Linked DNA regions of Rhinolophus ferrumequinum. The protein of the gene in region 2 interacts with the protein of the main gene of each other region in a biochemical or structural test. Links are inferred from orthologs where the notes say so. Each region holds a gene or a part of one and is shown on either strand. Other genes may lie near its edges.

What was found.
Region 1: the proteins of UBE2D3 (region 2) and RNF7 form a complex in vitro, tested with the Homo sapiens proteins (5 studies listed by BioGRID). The link is inferred for Rhinolophus ferrumequinum from reciprocal best matches to the Homo sapiens genes UBE2D3 and RNF7.

What each region holds. Positions count from the first base shown.
Region 1 is NC_046300.1:40,076,164-40,086,408, reverse strand, and holds the start of RNF7 (RING-box protein 2), read right to left. Parts: upstream 5,160-10,245; 5' UTR 5,045-5,159; coding exon 4,870-5,044; intron 1,523-4,869; coding exon 1,475-1,522; intron 1-1,474. UniProt on the Homo sapiens protein: Catalytic component of multiple cullin-5-RING E3 ubiquitin-protein ligase complexes (ECS complexes), which mediate the ubiquitination and subsequent proteasomal degradation of target proteins.
Region 2 is NC_046288.1:53,686,900-53,697,432, reverse strand, and holds the start of UBE2D3 (ubiquitin-conjugating enzyme E2 D3), read left to right. Parts: upstream 1-5,379; 5' UTR 5,380-5,509; intron 5,510-5,868; exon of another isoform or gene 5,869-6,072; intron 6,073-6,779; 5' UTR 6,780-6,910; coding exon 6,911-6,934; intron 6,935-10,533. UniProt on the Homo sapiens protein: Accepts ubiquitin from the E1 complex and catalyzes its covalent attachment to other proteins. In vitro catalyzes 'Lys-11'-, as well as 'Lys-48'-linked polyubiquitination.

The sequences.
Region 1 (10,245 bases), on a different chromosome or scaffold from region 2:
AAATGTTTTCTATGTATAAAGAAATACATTTACACTTACATGGTTATTTTATACTTAAGAAGATAAGGAACTGTGTTTGGGGGACTTTCTATCACTGTTCTAGAATCAATGAATGATGTGGTGGCCCCCATTCCCACATAGCTCCACAGGCTATCTTCCTGAAGTTAGGAGATAAAAAGACTTGAGCCTTCCTTAGATCTCAGACCTTCTCAGTCATTCACTGACCTTGGAGACCTTTGGGGCTTTATTTTATTGAAAAATGTCCTTCAGATTCATATTTACCAAGATATGAGTTTTAAATGTTTTCAGTTCACAGTAGGCTATTATGAATAGATGACATGCTTCTAAACATTATCAGCTGTACATCTACTGAGTTGTTTTCTAGAAGTGGTGATGAACTGCGTGTTAAGTCGTCAATAAGCAGTGCAACTCCTCATGTGACAAACAGAATGAAATTTTCAAAGTGGCTGGCTGGAAAGAGAAGTCTCTCTGTGATCAAAGAAAGCCGGCTTACCCCTCACAATTCTCAAATTAATATTTTTTAAACAGCATGAAAGAAAAATTTTAAACTGAGGGAAATCATCCACAATCTGGAATGCAATCTCAGACATAGGCTTCATTTGTCCCTTGCTTGACCAACTGAGCTATATGATAACAGAATAATGAAAGACACAGGAAAAAGAGAGAAAAGAAAAAAAACTTATGAACATTGACTATAGGGGGTAAAAAGCAAGGGGGAATCATTCTAATGTTTCAGGAGGAAGAAACAGGATTTGATCAAAATGACATAAATCATTATTAGGAAGCTGTTATGTAAACCACAAAAACGCAAAGTATAAGTTCACCATTCATTCTAGGAAAATGTTTAAACACTTTCATACAGCAATCTAGAAGTGATGATTTCAAGTACGAGGACATGAAAACCTTTGAATTGTTTAAAACATTTAGCCTAAGAGAATCTTGGTAGTCCCAGACTATAAGGAAAATTTAATAGATTTCTATATACAAACTACATTCCCCGAAGTTCTTGAGACTTAGAATTTTTTCTATCTTAGTTAAAAAGTTAAATACTATATCACAAAAGAATACTGAAAACTGAAATGCTTTATTAGAATAAAACACTACCAAAACTGACCTACCTATAAACATAGTCAGAATTTAAATGTTTTGGCAAATTCCTTATTGTATAATTTTAATAGAAAGGAATTATTTATTTTTTTTGATTATCAAAATATTTACTATGCCCATGTCTGGAACATATAACCAATTCTTCTTAATTACAGATAATAAAAGAACTTGCAGATTAATTCCATTAAGGCCTTTTGAGAACTAACACATTTTATATTAATAATGGATCACTGCTTTACAGTTTATTTTCGTGTATTGATAAAGTCAATCTTAACAGCAAATTCAAACATCCCCACTGAGAGAAAACCTTCAGTTGAAAAAGCAAGAGTACGAAATGACAACATACCAACACAATCCTCTTGTTTGTTTTCAGCTTGACATCTAAGACAGGCATCTAAAAGTAAACAAATAGCAATTCTCATTCTGATGCTCAGAATGCAATTTTTAAAACCCAGACACTTTAAAGTCAAATAAGAGCCCAAAGGGTTAGAGATGGAGCTAAAAGACTCATACTATTAATTTCTTGTCTGAACGTACTGTTTAAAGGTGAATAAAGTACAAGGCACTTTACTAGTTTATTCATGATCAGGAGCAATTTCACAAGGGTTACCGACCCTCTATTTTTATAAACTCTAATGAAAAGATGTCCTGACAGTGGATGCAACCACTAGAGAAAAATATGCCATCCTCCACTCTATTATTAGTTATTATAAGCTCACTGGGCATGCTCACATAGAACAACACCTAGGGGCAGTTTATTTTGAAGACACCCTTTTAAATAAGCCATGTATATATATATTGGTATTTGCTTGTACATACATAAAGAAACTCTAGAAGGATACAAGAAACCAATAATAAAGTTTACTTGGGAGAGGATAGAATGGGAAGGAGTTTTCATTGTACATTTTCTTAAATTTTTGAATGATGTGACTGTATAATCTATGCAATCAAATTAAAATGAATTAAATTAATTAAAAATACCTTCTAAATACTAGGTTCTCTTTTTATTTTTATTTTTATTTTACGAAAATACTCCCTTTACAAATAAGTCTGAGCCCAAAGCATTTATCCAACAATGGCAAAGGTTTTTTAACAAATTATGTGGGAGTAAATACTAGGAATGGGAACCTAAAGGGTATAATTAGAAATTTTCAAAATTCACTCTGTACTATTTGCTTGATGAAGGAGGTTAATATACAATATGCCAGGGACTAATGAATGGATTTATTCACTAGCTGGAAGAGGAGTCAAACTTGGGTAAAAGGAAGTTCAAACCAACAGAAAAAAAGTTTTTAACATAAACTGGAGAAACTAATTCTGTAAAAATAGACACACGGTGGAGCTGAAGCCTGCTTCTCTTCTTACACTGGATTATGCACAGGCCATTTGTTTGCTTCTCCCTGCATGCCTTTACCCTAAAAAAACACACCACCCAGGCCTCTTCAGTGTGGATTAAAAACAACTACTGCCTCCTAAGACTTTCTTCAATTCCACAATTACTGAGGATCTACTCTGTGCAAGGAGTTATGCACGGGGGCATGACACTAAAATGACCAAGTCTGGTCCCTGGTTTCCCTGTGCCATCTGCTCATTTCAGAATGAAGGGAGGAGAGTGGAAACCAAGGAGGAGAGTGTTAACATCAAAACGGGTAGACAGACAAATCTTGGATCAAGAAGTCATAATAAATCATTTAGGCATATGAGATGAATTCCAAGTATTAAGGAAATGGGTTAAGTGGGCTTTTTTTGTAGAATCTAGAAATCTCTGATTTATGCTTATAGCTTTGATTTAGACTCATGATAAAAAACTGACCTAAACTGACAAAAATTCCCAAAGTTTCAGATAAAAGAAAAAAGTATCTAAAACAGTATTTTTTTAAGGAGTGCAGTAATAGTAACATCTTTTAGAGTAATGGTAGGATAAGGATTGGGAAGTCTGAAAAATTTCCTTCTGCTGTTTACCTGACCACTAAGTGGATTTTAACACCTCATAAACAAAATACAAAGGTCTAGTCTATAGTACTTCCCTGAACTCAAAGTATAGCTGTTGTAAACCTGCAACATTAATCCACAGTAGCAGAATACTTGCTATAATTAGAAAGTTACTGTGAATGGAGCCATTTATAGCCCATACTTTGACTTACTTTAAATATCCCAGTTAAAGTTTATTTGCTGCAAGATTTCAACCATTAAATTCTGCATTTCTACTTACTAGTTTTAAAGTTTTCTTTGGGGGGGGAAGAAAATGCGCTTTTAGAAACATTCTTCATTTTTAGACTAAAGGAAATTTAGGGGACAAAATTTTTAGCAAAGCCAGTCTTGCAAAAAAGCAAAAAAATTAAGTCACCTGTATAAGTTAAAAATGCCACCCAAACTGGAAATTATGATTGTAATTCCTAAGTAATGGGTGGGGTATGGGATAAGAAGGCTGCACTGCAGGCCAATAAACGAGGTGTTTTAAAAACCTAATGTACAAAATAAGTGAGTCATGTCTGAAGTTAAGCTCTTTAAAACAAAACAAAAAACATCTGAACTCCATTTTGCTGTAAATCCTCTTTGAAACAGGTCCTTATGAATAAAAAACAAGACAGCACACTAAAGAGACTATAAATTGAGAAATCTCTTGATTCTGGTAAATTTAAAAGTTTTATCCCTCAAGAAGGAACAACGATTTTATTTATTTTCTCCAATTCTCGCATTTTCAGTGCAAGACAGTAGAAACCTCAAGACTATAGAAACCTCAATTTTCTTCATCTACCCCTAAGAAACAACATTTTGGATGCTCTCACAGTAGTTTTAAATGCCATACTTAAATATACAACTTGCATTTAAACAGCGCCTCCTTTTCAAGGTGGCCTGAGACTCTAAAACAAACCATATAAGACAAAAACGGGATGAAGCTGCTCTCAAAGGTTTCACTTGGTCCGACATTTTTATTCAAAATATAAAAAGAAGTAAGATATTTGTAAAAGCGGGTTCTCCACAAAGACCTGACTCAGCGCAGGGCAGTTGTCTTCTCCAGGAAATGGCAAGCTATGAGAGTGAGGGGCCAGGAAGGGGATGAAATTCTGTTTCTGAGTAAACGGCTCACATTATTCAATTCCCACGACACTTAAATATTTTTGAACCACATGTAATCTCCTTCAAGCCAGGCGAGTGCCGTCTGACCCGTCTTGAATCGCACAGATTTAATGGCCAGCAGCAGCACAACCGTAGCTAATCCAGAAATGAATGCAATGGCTGGGAACACTTTTCTTCCCTGCATCTCTCAACAGCAGCACCGAGGGTGTCGCTTTTGTGGAAGATGACCAGAGCACCACTTTGGTGTGTGACCAGAACCATTCAAGTTGCTCTGCGAAATCAGGACCTTTACCCTGACCTCTTTGTGGTTTGCTTTTAGCGCAGGGCTGGGACTGGCTACACGTACCAAAGCGGTTCCTCCCAGCTCCCAGAAAACCACCTAGTAGTATTTTCTTGGCCACACCCATCGCTACCTGAAATTATCTTGTTTAATTCCTCTGTTTACTGCCAGTTTCTCCCCCGAAAATCCAGCCCCAGGCACTGTGCGTCTGTTGAGCGACCCCACCGCCCCTGGCGGCCGCCCCAGCACCGGCCGGGACAGAGCGATCCCCGCCCCCACTCCTCCAGGTAAGGGTCTCTCCGAGCCTTCGCTCGTCCCCCGTCCCGGACCCGGACCCGCGCAGGCCGGAGCGCAGCCCGGGCCTAGCGTGCAGCGCTTACCCATCACCTGGACCCTGCAGATGGCGCACGTATCGCACTCCACGTCCCAGCTCCACATGGCCACCGCGTTCCACTTCTTGAGAGAGAACATTTTGTCGCCTCCCGACTTGGAGCCTGCGCTCCCGGAGTGAGAGGACAGGGCGCAGGGCTCCTCGCCGTCTTCCACGTCGGCCATGACTACGGCGCGGAGCCGGCGGCGGAGACGTTGGCTAGGGGAAGGCACGCGGCTATGGCGGCTCTGCCGGGCCGCCCGACGGGCCACAGCGCCGCCCGCAGGCCGCCCGCCACCGCGGTGCTTACGACAGAGGTCGCCCGCGATTGGCTGGCGCGGGGCAGTGACGTCACCACACGCCAGCTCTCGGACGCAGTCCCCACCCCCGCCCCATGCTGGGACAACGTAGAGGGCTGAGGGCCCAGGGGCCACCACCGGCAGGAGGGCGGCCCTCGCGCTGTCGGGTGTTACTGTCGTGAGAGCTGCCTTAGGCCGTTATGAAACTTACTACTCTCAGAAATTATCTCCTTAACATAGCCGTTTGTCGTCCCTCCCAAATGTAAACTCCAGCAGAGCAGGGCCCATGTCTTTATCGTCACCTTGGCCTCCTTATCAGAAAAAAAGAAATGCCTGGCCACAGGAGGCCCAGTTATTTGTTGAGTGAATGACCTTAATGATCTTCTAGAAATCTGGTTCAATGGTTCCTCAATCGTTTTGGTCTCAGGACGCCTTTATACTTAAAAATTAAAGAGCTCTTGTTGTGTGGACAATACAGAAGGTGCCAAAAAAACATGTATACACATTTTAAGAAAGGGAAAAAACTATTAAAATTGTAATACTCCATATATACCTAACAAAAGATGAACACAAGTCTTAGGTTTGACACCTGCAATTACAAGAGGTGCTCAAAGTGGTTACCATCAGCACAATTTTGATACATTTTCCTTAAAATGTGTATACATCTTTTTGGCACCCTCTGTATATATTTGTTTTTTAAGAAATTAAAAGATGAAAAAATTTAAATATATTAATCCATTTTAAAATAACAGTAATAAACCCATTACGAGTTATTATTGGAGCGATGGCATCACATATAATAATGTAGCTTCTGGAAAACTCTGTACATTCATAGAGTGAAAAGAGAAATAGCTCTGAATATTGTTATGGGAATAGTTTTGACCTCTGAAAGGAGCCCAGAAATCCTGGGGACCACTCTGTGAGAACCTCTGGTTTAACCTTTTATATGTGGGAGGAATGAGGTCCAGGGAAGTAACTTAAAGAGCACATAGCTGCTACGTGATGGTGACAGTTTTGAAGCCAGGGTTCTTCTATTGCTAGCCCAGAGTCATAGAATTATGTCTTCCCAAGCAAAGCAGACACCTCCATTTAAAAGATAAGAAAGCTGAGGCACAGAGAGCCTAAGGAGATGCCTGATTGCCATCACCATCTAGTGGTGGACACCTGCTGTGTCAGGTTTGGGATTCTGAGCCTCAGCTTTTACTGGTCCACCCATCATCCCCTCATCTCCTGGTGCCCCCAGGCTTTGTACCTGGGTGGGGGCTAACCAAGCTCAAGGAGCCTGGCAGAAAAGACAAGGATGCATAACTACATCAAATATAAATATGGACACAAGGTCATATTTGACTAGATGCTAATGTGTGCTGTTTGTTGAGTGGTGTGTTAAGTGCTGGGAGGGAGAAAGACATTCCTGAGGACTGATGCAGTGAGGAAAAGCCTCATGAAAGAGGTGAAGTTTGAAATGGGGGGAATTGGGAGACCCTGGAGGCCAGAAAATGAAGGAAGAAAGCAAACATCTATGAGCTGGAGCAGAGCAGTGGTAGTGGCGGCAGATATAAGTCTGAACACACTAACTTTATGAGCCAAACAAAAATGCCTATAAACAAACCCAGATGAACTATATACGATACATGTTCTGTTCATATTAAGTGACCACACATCTGACTAGAGATGGCTACAAGTGCTCTTAGATAGCTAATTAAAAAAAAATTTTAAAAAAAGCAAGAAGAAGGCTGCAAACCAAATGAGGACAAAATGCACCCAGTTGGTAGGAACTGGGCAGTTTGAAAGGGAAACACAGGGAAACTCAGGTGAAAAGAGGAAAGGTTAGAGGATGGTTAAAGATGAGGAGTGGTACGTGCCCATGCTGAGTCTGAACCTCATCACCCTGCCCCTGGATTATTGTGTCCGACTTCCTTCCTGTCTCTCCTTCCCAGTCTAACTGGCATTCAATCTAGTGTGCCTGTTTAATTCTCCTATATCCCCTTTCTACCTGGTACTCCCCTGTTCAAAATGTTCCATGGCTCTGAATTATCATCTGAACAGAATCTGAATGACCCAGTTGGTCATTAAATCCTGCCACAATATGGCCCCAATGTACTTTTTTAGTGTAATTCCCAAGCACTCCCTGAAGCCCATGTCAGATTGGTCTGCTCAGTCATCTAAACATACCCCGGACTTTTTTTTCCTTCACCTTTTAACATCCCTAAAATTACACAGAACTTCCTCTGCCTGCTTTGGCTGAATTGCCCTCTGCATTTAGGAAAAACTTACTCATCTTTGTGTTCTCACTGACCATTCTTTCCCACCATTTATTATGCTCTCCCAGGAAATTATAACAAAATTGTGTTTCTTCTAGTCTTTTGGCATCAGGTGACATAGCAACCAAAAAGTGCTGTTACTGATGTTTATTCAACCATTTTAAGTTTTTTAAATTGACAGTTCATAAATGATAAAAACATTAAATAGTGAAATGAGTATGCAATAAAAAAAAGCTAGTACTGTTAATAGACTCTCCAGAAATTTCTACATATGTACAAGCAGACACACAATACATCAACTGAAGTTTTTAAAACTTTAATTGTGGTAAAATACACATAACAAAGTTTACCATCCTAACCATTTTAAAGTACACATGTCAATAGTATTAAGTACATTCACATTGTTATGCAATCAACCTCCAGAACTTTTTCATCTTCCCAAACTGAAACTCCACATCCGTTCAACAACTCTCCATTTCCCCCTCCTCCCTCCCCTTGGCAAACCACCATTTCACATTCTGCTTCTCACCTGGACTACTTTAGGTACCTTATATAAGTGGAATCATACACTAGTTGTCTTTTTGTAACTGGTTTATTTCACTTAGCATAATGTCCTCAAGGTTCACCCATATTGTAGGAAGGATTTCCTTCCATTTTAAGGCTGAATAATATTCCATTGTGTTAATATGGCACATTTTGCTTATCCACTCATGTGCCAATGGACATTTGGGTTGCTTCTACTGTTTGATTACTGGGAATAATGCTGTACAAACGCAGCTGTACAAATATCTCTTCATGATCTTGTTTTCAATTCTTTTGGACGTATACCCAGAATTGGAATTTCTGGCTCATATTATATCAGTTGTCTTTAATATGAATTTTTCATATATGCTAGTCTCTAACCTGCTTTTTTTGTTTAATAGTATTATTAGGACATTTTTACAGATAAGCACTTACATATCCACATTGTTCTTTTTAACAGCTGTATAGTATTCCAACACATACATTTTCTGTGACTTATTTCACTGAGAACCCTTTGAGAGACATTTAGTTGTTTTCAATGTTTAATAAACAGTGCTGCAGTGAACATCTCTATACATATTTCCTTGCACACGTGTGAGACTACATCTGTAATATAAATTTCTGGAAGTAAAATGCCTGGGTCAAAAGCTCTGTGGTTTTCATTTTGATAGACATTGCCAAAAGATCTTTAAAGAGACACACAGACTTTATATTCCCACCCAGCAGATGTTAGTAGAAAATTTCAAAAAAGATATTTTTTATTTTATTTTTTAAGCAGTAACAATTTCTAAGGAAGCCACACACATTGGATATATAAATTCTATAGATAAGTTACCATATTTTGTCGTGTATAATGCACACTTTTTTGCCCAAATTTGTGAGGGAAAAATAAGGGTGCGCATTATACATGGGTAATACTAATTCCGTATTTAAATAAATGGTTTTAATTCTTTTATTTATGCTTATGAGTTAAAAGTGTAACTCTGTAAATCAATAATGATACCCATGTGCAAAATAATACCCTGGAACAGGATCATCAGTTTTGTTGAATTTACAACAAACTTGCAACAATAAAGAGTTCTTGGCCTTCTATAATGTATAAATACCGTAAATTTGTTACCAGTACATAAAATTTCTTGTACCTTGTATCTGTTCTTGTGTTTTGTGATTATTTGTTACATAAAATTTCTTGTACCATAATATGTTAAAAACTAAATGCTAAAATTCCTTTATAATACAAAAAGCAAGTACCTAAATGTAAACAGATAAAAATTTGAATTAAAAAATTAAAATGAAAGATTTTCCCCCCTGATACTTTGGGCCAAAAATGTAGTTGCATGTTATACATGGGAGCACATTATACACGGCAAAATACGGTATATTATTTTAACTCTTAAGCTCTATTGTTGTTTACTTTTAATGTATGAGGATCTTGGCTTGCTAACTAGATGTTAAGATCCTCAGAAGTGGACATAATTTACTATACCCATCCCCACTTCTAGGGAGTTTGGTTCCACGAACCTGCCAGAATTTGTACATAGAATAAATGACAGGGTTTTTTTTTTAACATAATAAAAAGGTCTTAAGTCTTTTTTCTTTTCTTTTGTATTTTCCCTGTTCAGCTGTTCTAAGTGAAATAACTGGAATCACTCAACTTTAACATCAATAATAACAGCTATAATAGTAGCCACTAACATTTATTTTTAAGCATGTACTATGAAATAGGTATTGTCCTAGAAAGCTTGACCTGTGTCACCTCATTCAATGCTCACCAAATGAGAAAGGTGCTATTCTTATCTGTATCTTACATAAGGAGAAACTGAGGCACAGTGAGGTTATCTGACTTGCTCAAGGTCAGACACATGGAAAGCAGCATGTTTCCACAGAGAATTCTGACTTATCTAATTCCTGGCCCATACTTTCCTATGCACCATATTGTCACAGCACATACAATGCAACTAATCCAATTTATAATCCATACACTGATCAACAACACCTCTTACATTTCCCATGGAGCTTTCTGACATCTTCATTCGAGGTAAAATGATTAGAAGTTTCCTCATTTGGGTAAGATCGCCATTTTGGGGGATGTTGTCTTTTAGAAAGTGGTTATTATTTCCAAACATTCCTATTGTTCCCAACTATAGATGTATTTATGAAAGCAGATTCTTTCTTTCTTTCTTAGATAAAGATCATGACTTTCTTCAAATTATAAATTTCATATGCACAAGAGAAGGAGCCCCCAAGAGGAATTCCACTTATTTTTACTAAGGCTTACTTGTGAAACCCACATTTTAGAGAATG
Region 2 (10,533 bases):
AATCATACAATGGGTGGCCTTTTGTGTCTAGCTTTTTCACTTTGCAGAATACTTTCAAGCTTTAAGATACATGTTGTAGCATGTATCAGTATTGTGTTCCTTCTTATTAACTAATACAATTCCATTATATGGATATACCACATTTTATTTATCCATTTATCAGCTGATATTTGGTTGTTTCTACTTTTTGGCTATTATGAATAATGCTACTCTGAACATTCATGTATACAAGGTTTTATGTGGAAAATATTCAACTTTATTTTTAGCTCATTTTTGCATGGTTCATTATATGCCAAAACCCATCTTAATTTAAGGTTAATTGATGTGCTTAGCATGAAAGTTTCCCAAACTACATTACTTTGTATTGATCATAAAAATGAGATTATGAACTGGTAAGATAGAAACTCATTTGATTTTTATGCAAACCATATGAAATAACCTTTCATTGACTTGGGCTCTAATTTACCTATTCCAACCAGAATATGTCAACGTGCATTCTGGATATAAAATCTGGACCATAGCATTTACAATTTAACCAATAAAATGGCATACACTGTGTTAGAGACAGTGTCCTTAGCAAGTTATAAAATTCTGTGAGACAGTTACAAAGATCTGAAAACATAGATACATTAAACATTACTAATCTATGTTAACTATATTCACAAATATATCTTTATTAACCCTTGTACTCAAGTTATTATTATGTGGCTACACTGATGCATTCACATAATATTAGACTTTGGCACACCTTCATTATTTGGATTAGTTTTATCATTGCCACTTTTATACTAATTTTTTTGATCCTTTATATGTTTCTCAAGTTTTATGCCAATTCATGTAAGATAATCTGATCTACCATAATTAGGAAGTTTTTGAGACTTCAATATAATATTCATTAAGGATGAAATTGTTTTTAGTGCATCTTTTCAACATTTTATACCTGCATTAATTTTTAAATGTAATTGTTTCTTTCAATACATAAAACCATAATCTTTTTAGTACATTGCAAACTGCAATTTTTTTTTTTTTTAAGATTTTATCGGGGAAGGGGGGAACAGGACTTTATTGGGGAACAGTGTGTACTTCCAGGATTTTTTCGAAGTCGTCGTCCTTTCAATCGTAGTTGTGGAGGGCGCAGTTCAGCTCCAGGTCCAGTTGCTGCTGTTAGTTGCAGGGGGCGCAGCCCACCATCCCTTGCGGGCATCGAACCAGCAACCTTGTGGTTGAGAGCCCACTGGCCCACGTGGGAATTGAACCGGGAGCCTTTGGCATTAGGAGCACAGAGCTCCAACCACCTGAGCCACCAGTGTGCCCACAAACTGCAGTATTTTTAAAAATGGTATTTTCCTTTCCTTTTTCAGATGGAAACATTTCAGTACCAGTATTAGTCAAATAAGTCAAGTGAATAAAGTCAGCTTTATTTGAAATTAAAAGTGGGCTCTCTCTAACACTACAAATGCAAATAGTATTTTAAGGTTTGAGTGAATACTAGACTACCTCAAGCCTCAAAATGCTTTCAAGCCATGTTTAGTTTTAACCTTAGCAAGACTGAGTAGAAACGTTAAGTTTGCTAGTGTAAATACAAACGGCATAATCAACCAATAAATTTACTTCATTCCCAAATAAATTGGGATTACACAATGGATAATCTAGAACTTCATATATTAGGATTTATTCATGTCATCATTTGTTGTATGAAATCTTGATAGTGGTCAATTAAAAAAACAGTGGCACCATTATAAAACAAAGTTTAATTTCAGATGCATGCTTGTAGGGCAGGGAAGGGCATGAGTGAATATCTTCATCTTCTAAGCAAAACTCCATTACAACAAAACTTCCTGTGGAACAATTTTCGAGCCCCAACTGGTAGCCTACTTATTTAAAGGTGGTGCTGAAGATAAGCAATAACTCTACAAAGGGAGAATTTAGAACATTCCTTTTAGTCACTGGATGGAATTTGACTTGGAATACTAAGAAATGCATAAATTTATGAGGTTGTTAATATGTATTTGCTGTACTAGTGGGCAAATTAATGTTGGCTAATAGTCGAAAGGCTAAAAAGTCAAACAGCTTAGTGGTTAAGAGTGTGAATCTTGAGGTCACGCTGCCTAGATTTAAATCCTGGCTCTACTTAATAATTATATGACCTTGAGTATTTCATCTGTATAATGGGGATTTGATGAGATAATGAATTAAAGGACTCAGCATATAGTACTTCAAATAATAATTATTAACACTTATTTTTAAGACTTTTTAATATATAGTATTTTAATTTCTTTCATCCTTGGTTATTTTCATTTTACAATTCTTCCACCACATCTTATTTGTAAAGATGAGTAATAAATAAGAGTGATATAGTAAAACCTAAGTTATCTAGAATGCATAGGAAATGAATCATTCTGGATAGTAAATTTTTCATAGGGTAACTTCATAGGCATCAAAATAACAAAAAAGTCAACAAATGGGATAAAACTATTTCCTAAACCTATTACACACTTCCATGCCTTCTTAAGGAGAGTATACTGGTGGTAAACTTTTTCTTGATGAATCACGATTGCTATGAATATCAATTACAATTCTATGTAATTCTGTGCTTATTCCAACAGGAATAAGCCTTAGGACTGACTCTACCTAAGGTTTTTCAAATATGTAGTTCATGGATAGAAATCAGGGTGTGAACTTGGATGTGAAAAAATAAATTTTTTATTTTTACTAATGTCTAAAAACTAGCATTTCCTTCCATTTTGAATGTAAGCAACAAACAGTTGTACCTATGTCTCTGTCACCAACAGAACTCATAGATACTTTATACTACAACTTTTGCAAACTCTAGAAATGTTTATGTTCATCACTATTTCAAAAATTTGGTCTTTACTAGACCCATCATTTGATCTTACTGTGTTAATAAACCACATATATTCCTATATCAAAAATTTGTTTTTCTTTAATATTTTGAGACTCTATTTCCAAATGTTTTCTTTTATAATGGGTATGAATTTTACATTATACATTTAAAAACATTATTTTGAGAAGAGTCCATGGCTTCACCAGACTGCCAAAGTAGTTTGTGGCACCAAAAAAATTAAGAACTCTCATTTAAAATCTGTCCCAGTCTGCTGTGCTCTGTTAATTCAGTGCCTTAACACGTGCCATTAAACTTTCATACTGAAGCTTATTTAAATTAGGGTAATACAAATTGGCTTCTCCAGGACTTTCATGGGCCTCTTGGATATTTTGAGTTCCCTTTGGGTAGGTAGGAATGTTTCCTACCACCCTTGAACCTTGGCTTCTGAAAGAACAAAACTATTACAAAGGGAGAAATTAGTCAAAATTAGATTAAGATGGCATTGAAAGTAGAAACATAAAACATCTTACTTTCTAAATTAAGAGACAATATGAAACTCCATTCAATACATACTCTGAAGTTAATTACTTGGTTTCAAATTCTACTTCTGCCATTTATTAGCTGTGTGGCCTAGGGACAGTAACTTAATCTCGCCATGCATCAGTTTCTTTATTTGTAAAGGGGGTTAACAAGCACAGTACCTGGTACATGACAAGTGTTCCATAAATATTACCTATATTAATATTCTTACAGATTTGTTTCACAATATGGCCAGTTAACGTCTGACAGATTAGTTTAATAACTTACATTTATACAGCACTTTATTCTACAGTGCCCTTTCACATACATTATGACATCTGAACCACATAATAACCCTGTGAGAAAGGACAGCTATTATTATGCCTTCTTTAGTGTTGAAGAAACTTAGAAAGTACCATATCACACAACTGGGAATAGAGCTAGAAGTCAAACCTGGATTTCTCCCTCCACTCCAGTCACCTAACCTGTGTTTCTACTATATTAGACCAGTTAAAAGAAAGAACAAAGCAAAGATGGTGGGGTGGGGGGAAGTGGGCAAAGGTGTCCTGTACACCATGAGGTGAGCACTTTAGTGCTTTGCTACTCTCACACAGGTCTTCTGTATAATCTTTATTAGAAATGTTTATTAGAATCTCAGGCTCTACCCCAGACTACTAAATCAAAATCCGCATTTTGAACAAAATCTCTAGGTGATTCGTATAGATACTAGTTTGAGAAGCACTGTTTCAGTAATTGCTCTAGTGACACTAGTATGGTCACTAGAACTGTATACCGGGGTACCAAAAAAATGTATGCAAATAGACACTTGGGTCAATGATGCTCAAGCAGTAGTTCACTGTAACCAGAAGTGTCTGGACGCTCATTGATGGTAACCATTTTGAGCACCTCTTGTAATTGCAAAAGTCAAATGTGACTTGTATTCATCTTTTGTTATCGGTATATTGAGTATTACAATTTTAATACAGCTTTCCTTTCTTTAAATGTGTTTACATTTTTTTGGCATCCTCTGTATATTAGCTCATTTATCACAACCTATGAAGTTTTAATTAGGTAATATTTCTTGTAACAGGAAATAACTTGCTGCTTTCCTATTTTAAAGTGTGTTTTTAAAAGAAGTTTGTATTTCATTTAATTCTTAGAGATCTCCACTTCGGTAAGTAGGGTCATTAAGTAATATTAGAAAACTTTAAGCTTCCTTTTAAAAATTAATGTCTTACTAACCTTTGCCCGAAGAAAACACTAGAGAGCAAAACCATCCTCTCCCATACTTCACAACAGGCAGATCAAAACAGGCCAATCTTATCCTTGTATTTCTTCCCCTGGATGTTTCAGTATTAAGTTTTTCTGACCCAAAACTTTGATTTATTGTTTGAGTTTCACAATGTTGTGGCTCTAGGAATGGACACATATCAACAGGAAGAAAAAGGTATTAAGTTTATTCCCATATTTAAACCATGGCGGATGGTGGAGTTGATTACAGGGACCAGTGAACAGCCCACCCCTATCTCCCTATCCTCCATTCTAATCAATTTAGTTGATCTGGATTCCTAAACTGCTCTGCTGGGAGCCGGTCTATGGGCCCGCTCTTCTCAGCATTTATCCTGTAGGGTCAACAATACACTAGATTCGGCAGGTAGGGTCGCTGATCAGCTGTCCGCTAGATTCTATTTTAAATTACTGTTCCCATTTTGAGGGGCGCCTCCTCCCTCTGGTTAACCAGCCCAGACCGGTAGGCGAGTAAAAGTCGCTCACCTGCTTCACCGGAAACTTCAAAAGCCCGGGTCAACCCGGACTAAAGGTATCTAGTAATTAATCCATGGTACCTCCCACCGCACATTCCTGATTGGGCGCGTGAGAGAGGGATGTGTCGGCGCGCGCTCTTACCAGTCCGGGGAATTCCATTTCCTCTCCCTCCCACCAGCATAAGCATTCAGGGGCGGTGCTTCCCCGGCGACCGACCGTCCCAGCCCCAGCCGGTGCCTCACTGCATCTCGCGAGAACTTGTGGTTTGAGGGCGGGCCCCGATCAGGAAAAGCGCACAAAACTGCCCTTAAATCATTGCAGACCTACAGCTCCTGTGAGCCAGCCACGAGGTTCTCGCGAGATCCGCCTCCTCAATACCAAGTGAGGAAATTGGGGGATGCTGCTGGGAGGGGCGTGGGGTCGGCCGCGCAGCTGCCGTTTCCATTACCTTCCTCCCATGGTCTCCTTCCGGTTCTCGATGCTTCTCTGAGTCTAAGGGTTTCCGCCGCTCGTCTACCCTTCCCCCCAGCCCATGACCCGCCTCCGGCCCCCGCCCTCCCTGTCCAACCTCCGATCTGTTTAGTAAGAGGGTGCTGTTCTAAAAAGAAAAAAAAGGGGGTAGCACACACTCAGTTCTGGACTTCGGCAGTAAACCGTCCCCCTGCATCCTTAGATTCGTCCTGTGCTCGCGACGGCGGCGTTGGCGGACTGATACGCGGCGGTGAAGAGGCAGGAGGAGGGGGGAGGGGCGGAGCGTGGCAGCTGGCAGTAGTTCCGTCAGAGCGGACATCTTGTGGCTGTGTCGTGCGCGTGAGCCCCGTAGGGCCGGGGAGGCACCAGCTGCCGCGCGGGGAGGAGGCCGAGGCCGCAGCTTGAGGGAGGCCCCGGCCCCTCAGTACGCGTGGGTGTGGAAGGGAAGGGTGGCTGGCCCAGTGGCCGGCCGGGTAAGAGGGGAAACACAGGCCCTGGGTGGCTTGAGTGACCAGCCTGTTGGGTGGGGTAGGGTGGGAAGGCTGGAGAAGCCGGGGCCTCTTTTGCTTAAGGGGGAGGGGGAATGGGCGCGTCCTCGCGCCTAAGTCGGAGCCTCAGGGGCCGCACGGGCGCGTGGTGGCGGTGGCTGGGCGGGCGCGCGCGGGAGCGCGCTGGAAGGCGGAGTGTACAGTGGCGTCAGGGGCGACACAGAATAGCTTAGGTGCGGGGACAGCGACAGACATCCAGCTTCTCTTTATTTCCTTTCCCTTCCTGGCCGCACCTTTGAGTAGAAACCGAAAGAAGCCTGGCGTCAGTCCGGAGCCTCCTGCTGCCCCCTCCCCCTAGCCTTTCTTTGCCCTAGTGACGCGGGCATAGCGCCGACTAGGCCCCGGCTCCTCCTCTGCTGGGCTCCGGACCCTGCCCCGCACCCACCCCTTTCTCCTACGCCTCTTCCTCTCCCACCCGGGTCTCTTCCTTTCGAGAGGCCGGGAAGTCAAACTTGTAGCCACCCCTCCGCTCTTCCTGTCACTCTCGCCCCCTCTTCGGGCCGAAGCTCGGCATAGAGGCTGTTGCCACGCCACCCCACCCACCCCGGATCGCGGCCGTTTTAAGGGACCTGGATTCATCGGGGTCTCTCCGGGGCCTGTTCGAGTGCTGATCTGCTCCGTTTTTGCAAAAGGCGCCTGTGTCTGGCAGAGCCGGTGTGAGACGAAGAGACAATCCTTCCCTTCCGCCGGGATAATCAAGAGTTTTGGCCGGACCTTTGAGCACACACCAAGATAGTGAGGAGCCAGACGCAAAGCACAGACTATGGCGCTGAAACGGATTAATAAGGTAACCTATGGAGCTGGAGGGGACGGGGTCGTGGGAGGAAAGCAAGGCTCAGGCCCGGAGGAAGCATGAGGTGGAGGAAGTATAATTACGAAAATATCCTTCCTTGCGTCGTTCCTTCCATTGGGGGATGGGGAACGGGGGTATAGTTATGAAGGTTTATGAGGTTTAAAGGTAGGGAACGGAATACTCGTGGCAAGTGGGGTGTTATCTTTAGTATGTTTCAGCGGAATCTGCAAATTCGGGATTGGGGAGAGTGATTTCAGGCGCTTGGATTCTGCCTCTAAAGGAAGAGTTAGTCCTCTGTCGGGGGGTCAGAATTGAGGAGAGACGCACCGGCAGATGTCATGGCGTTTCCTATTCTCGGTACCTGAAAACTTATTTTAGTTGTAAGATCAAGGCTCTAGGCTTTGTAGGGGGAAGAAAGTAGGAAGCTCCGCGGAGAAAAAGGATCAGAAATCCAGCGGGTCCCGAACTTTGTTAGGGGTCGGGGTAGAAGTCTTCTGCCAGCGGAAGAGTAGTGAATGAGTCTAATTAGAAACTCTTTATCACTGCGCGGGTTACACAAGAATAAGTGGGGTTGGGAGGAGATGGGCTGACACAATGTTACTACTTCCTACGGGTCAGACTTCTCACCCGAAACTATTAGGAGCACACCGGGAACTGATGTAAAAAGCCTTCTGGAAGCTCCCTTTCTCTTTGGGCTTGTGGGGGGTGGGGGGAGGGTGCGATGGCAGTAAGCTGTGGTTAGGTGTACCTATTTATGCCTCGGCCCATTTAATAACACCCTCCGGGAAGATTGTTGCACTGCTTAAAACGTGGTTTGATGCTAAACTATCGATCTAAGTTGGGGGGAGGGGGAGGATTTTTCGAGTCGGGGTGAGCGGAACCTCCACCTCCGGTGGTTTAGTCTCATTTTCTTGCTCTTAACTTCTATCCCGCATTTTAAGATGGCGGCTGCTTTAACTGGTTCAGGCTCTTTCCGGCATCTCCTTTCGTAATAATGAAATAATATTCTTTGTTAAATGTTAACTTTTACATTAGGTCGTATACTGCTCTAAGACCTCCTGCTCAAGATTTAACTATATTCAAACTCTCAGACCATATTTCCCCTTTTTTGTAACTTGTGTATGTGTGGTGTGTTCGGTTCTTGCACAATCGAGGAGGGTGGAGTATTTACAGCTAACTTGAAAAAAATGTCATGGAATAAATTCAGCCTTACTAAAACTAGGAGACCGGAGGTTGTAGGTTAGAATCTTTCGTTTTGATAGGTTACTTTTTTAAAGAGTTCTACATGGAAGGAATGGCAAGGACTTGGCCTTACTTATGATGGCGGCTTAATTCTCTATTTAATACGTGTGACTTTGGTGTTTATTTGGCAAAACTGGTCTTTTATGAAAGATGAATGTTTAGGTCTTTACTCAGTGTATTGATGCTGAAATCTTAGATTTTGTTTTAGACCATTGCATTGTCATTGTGGGTTTATGTGAAATACAAGTTTAAATCTTTGTATATTTGAGGAGATGGAAAAGGAGAGGAAGTTAAACTTTTTAGGAGTTAAGACTTAAAGTAAAAAGGATTATTTATAAACACCCCCTTTTTTTGACCCTTTGAAGGCCAGAAACACATTGGAGAAGCATAGTTATGTTTTACAGCATAGTTAATACAAAGAAAGTAATATTTAGTACAAATCAAAACCTTTTTATGGGAATTTAGGCCACTAAGGTGTGGAATAATTTCAAATCCTTAGCTTTTTATGCATGTGGAATAGAACACTTTAAAGGGAAGTCTCACTGATTTTTTTTCTTTTACAGGTGATAACCAGCTGCTGTGACACCACTTTAATGATTTAAAAGCTCTAGAAGGGCAATATAATGGTTAAGAGTGTGAACTTTAGAGTAAAAATGATCCAGTTAGAATTGTTGGACTGGGCAAGCTATCTGTGTGCTTCTATAAAATGAATATTTGTTTTATATGAACAATAAATAGTTGAATGCCTAGTATATACTGGTTGCTATTTTAGACACTAGGGATGCAGCAGTGAGCAAAACAAATTTTAGATTTCTAGATTTTTTTATTTTAAGGATTAAATTGGTTAATATGTGGTTTTGAACAGGTCCCTGGCATACAGACTTGACATAATGACTTTCCAACATTGGGACTTTATTGATTTAACCTATAGAAAAGTTTTGGCATGTACGTAGTTTGCTTTTAAAGAGTTACTGTCATAATCACAGTGAAACTTAAAAACAAAAACAAAAAATCCCAGATTCAAACAACTTATGGGAGATGCTCTTTATTTTAGGCACCCTGTTCTAGAAATATGAGGTCAAGTAGGCATTGATGTTAGTATGGTATTTCTTGTGTCATGTACCTGTTTATTTTAATTCTCACCTGAAGTCCTCGAATTCCAAATATTAAGATGTATCTGTATTTCTCACTTAATGAAATGCTTATTGTTGGGATATCTAACCATTGGTAGTTCGTTTAATCAAGCCTTTGAATTTGCTTTTTTCCAAAGCTTGAGTTCTTATTTCTTGTTTGTTTGAATATTTCTTAGACCAAGCAACCTTATCAAACAACCTTATTTTTTGTTTTTTTGCTATATTCTTTATTTGGAACAAGCTGTACTATGGTCTTATAGGGCTATTTATTAAATAACTATAATCAAAAAGGGGAACTCCAAATTGATTGGTGGTGTTTGGGAGTCAGACAGTTTTACTACTCCCATTAAAATAACTACAGTGCATGTGTTTTTGGGAAGTTTAAAGAGAATTTTACATAAAATATAATGTGAACCAAGCCTAAAAGGACAATAGCTCATGCTTTGAGTATTTGCAACATGTCAGAAATGTTTGAAACACTTACATTAAGTCATTTAATCTTAACCCAAGGAAGTAGGTACAGTTTATTGTCCTCATTTTGAGATTAGAAACTTTGAGACAGAAGTTAAAACCACCCAGCAGTGTACTGTGGCAGAGTTGGGATTAGAACCTAGGCAGTCTGGCTCCACAGTGTGTGCTCTTAACCACTACCCTGTCATGTCATGCTTTAGGTTTTTGGTATTCAGAAAAGTTTTCTTTTGCAAGTATCATTCTGCTATTAATAATAGCTACATCTTAGCATCTACTGGGTCGTAAACACTGCTTCTAAACTCTTTGAGTATAAACTCAATTCCCACAACAATCTTGGGATAGATGCTCTTACCACTACATTGTATGCAAGAGAAAACACACGAAGAGATTAAGTCACTTGTCTATAATCACAGAGCTAGTAAGGGACCGGGATTCAAATGAGATAGTCTACCTCAAGAACTCAAGCTTTTAAACTCCATGCTGTACTGCTATTTCGAACCATTTAAATTCTTGTTTTCTAGTTAGATGAATGAACGTCATATTACTCTTGGCTACCTGAAGTAAGAACTCCTCTCCCACTTCACATTTAAATGGGATTAAACTTTACTTTTAGGTTATAGCTAATTTGTGAATTAAGATTTTTAGCTGATGTAAATTTTGAAAGTTGGAGTGAATTTTTCTTTGGCTTGTGTCTTTGAGGACTATGAGAGCTATCATGTGCCAACTGATTGCTAGGGGTATCTTAAA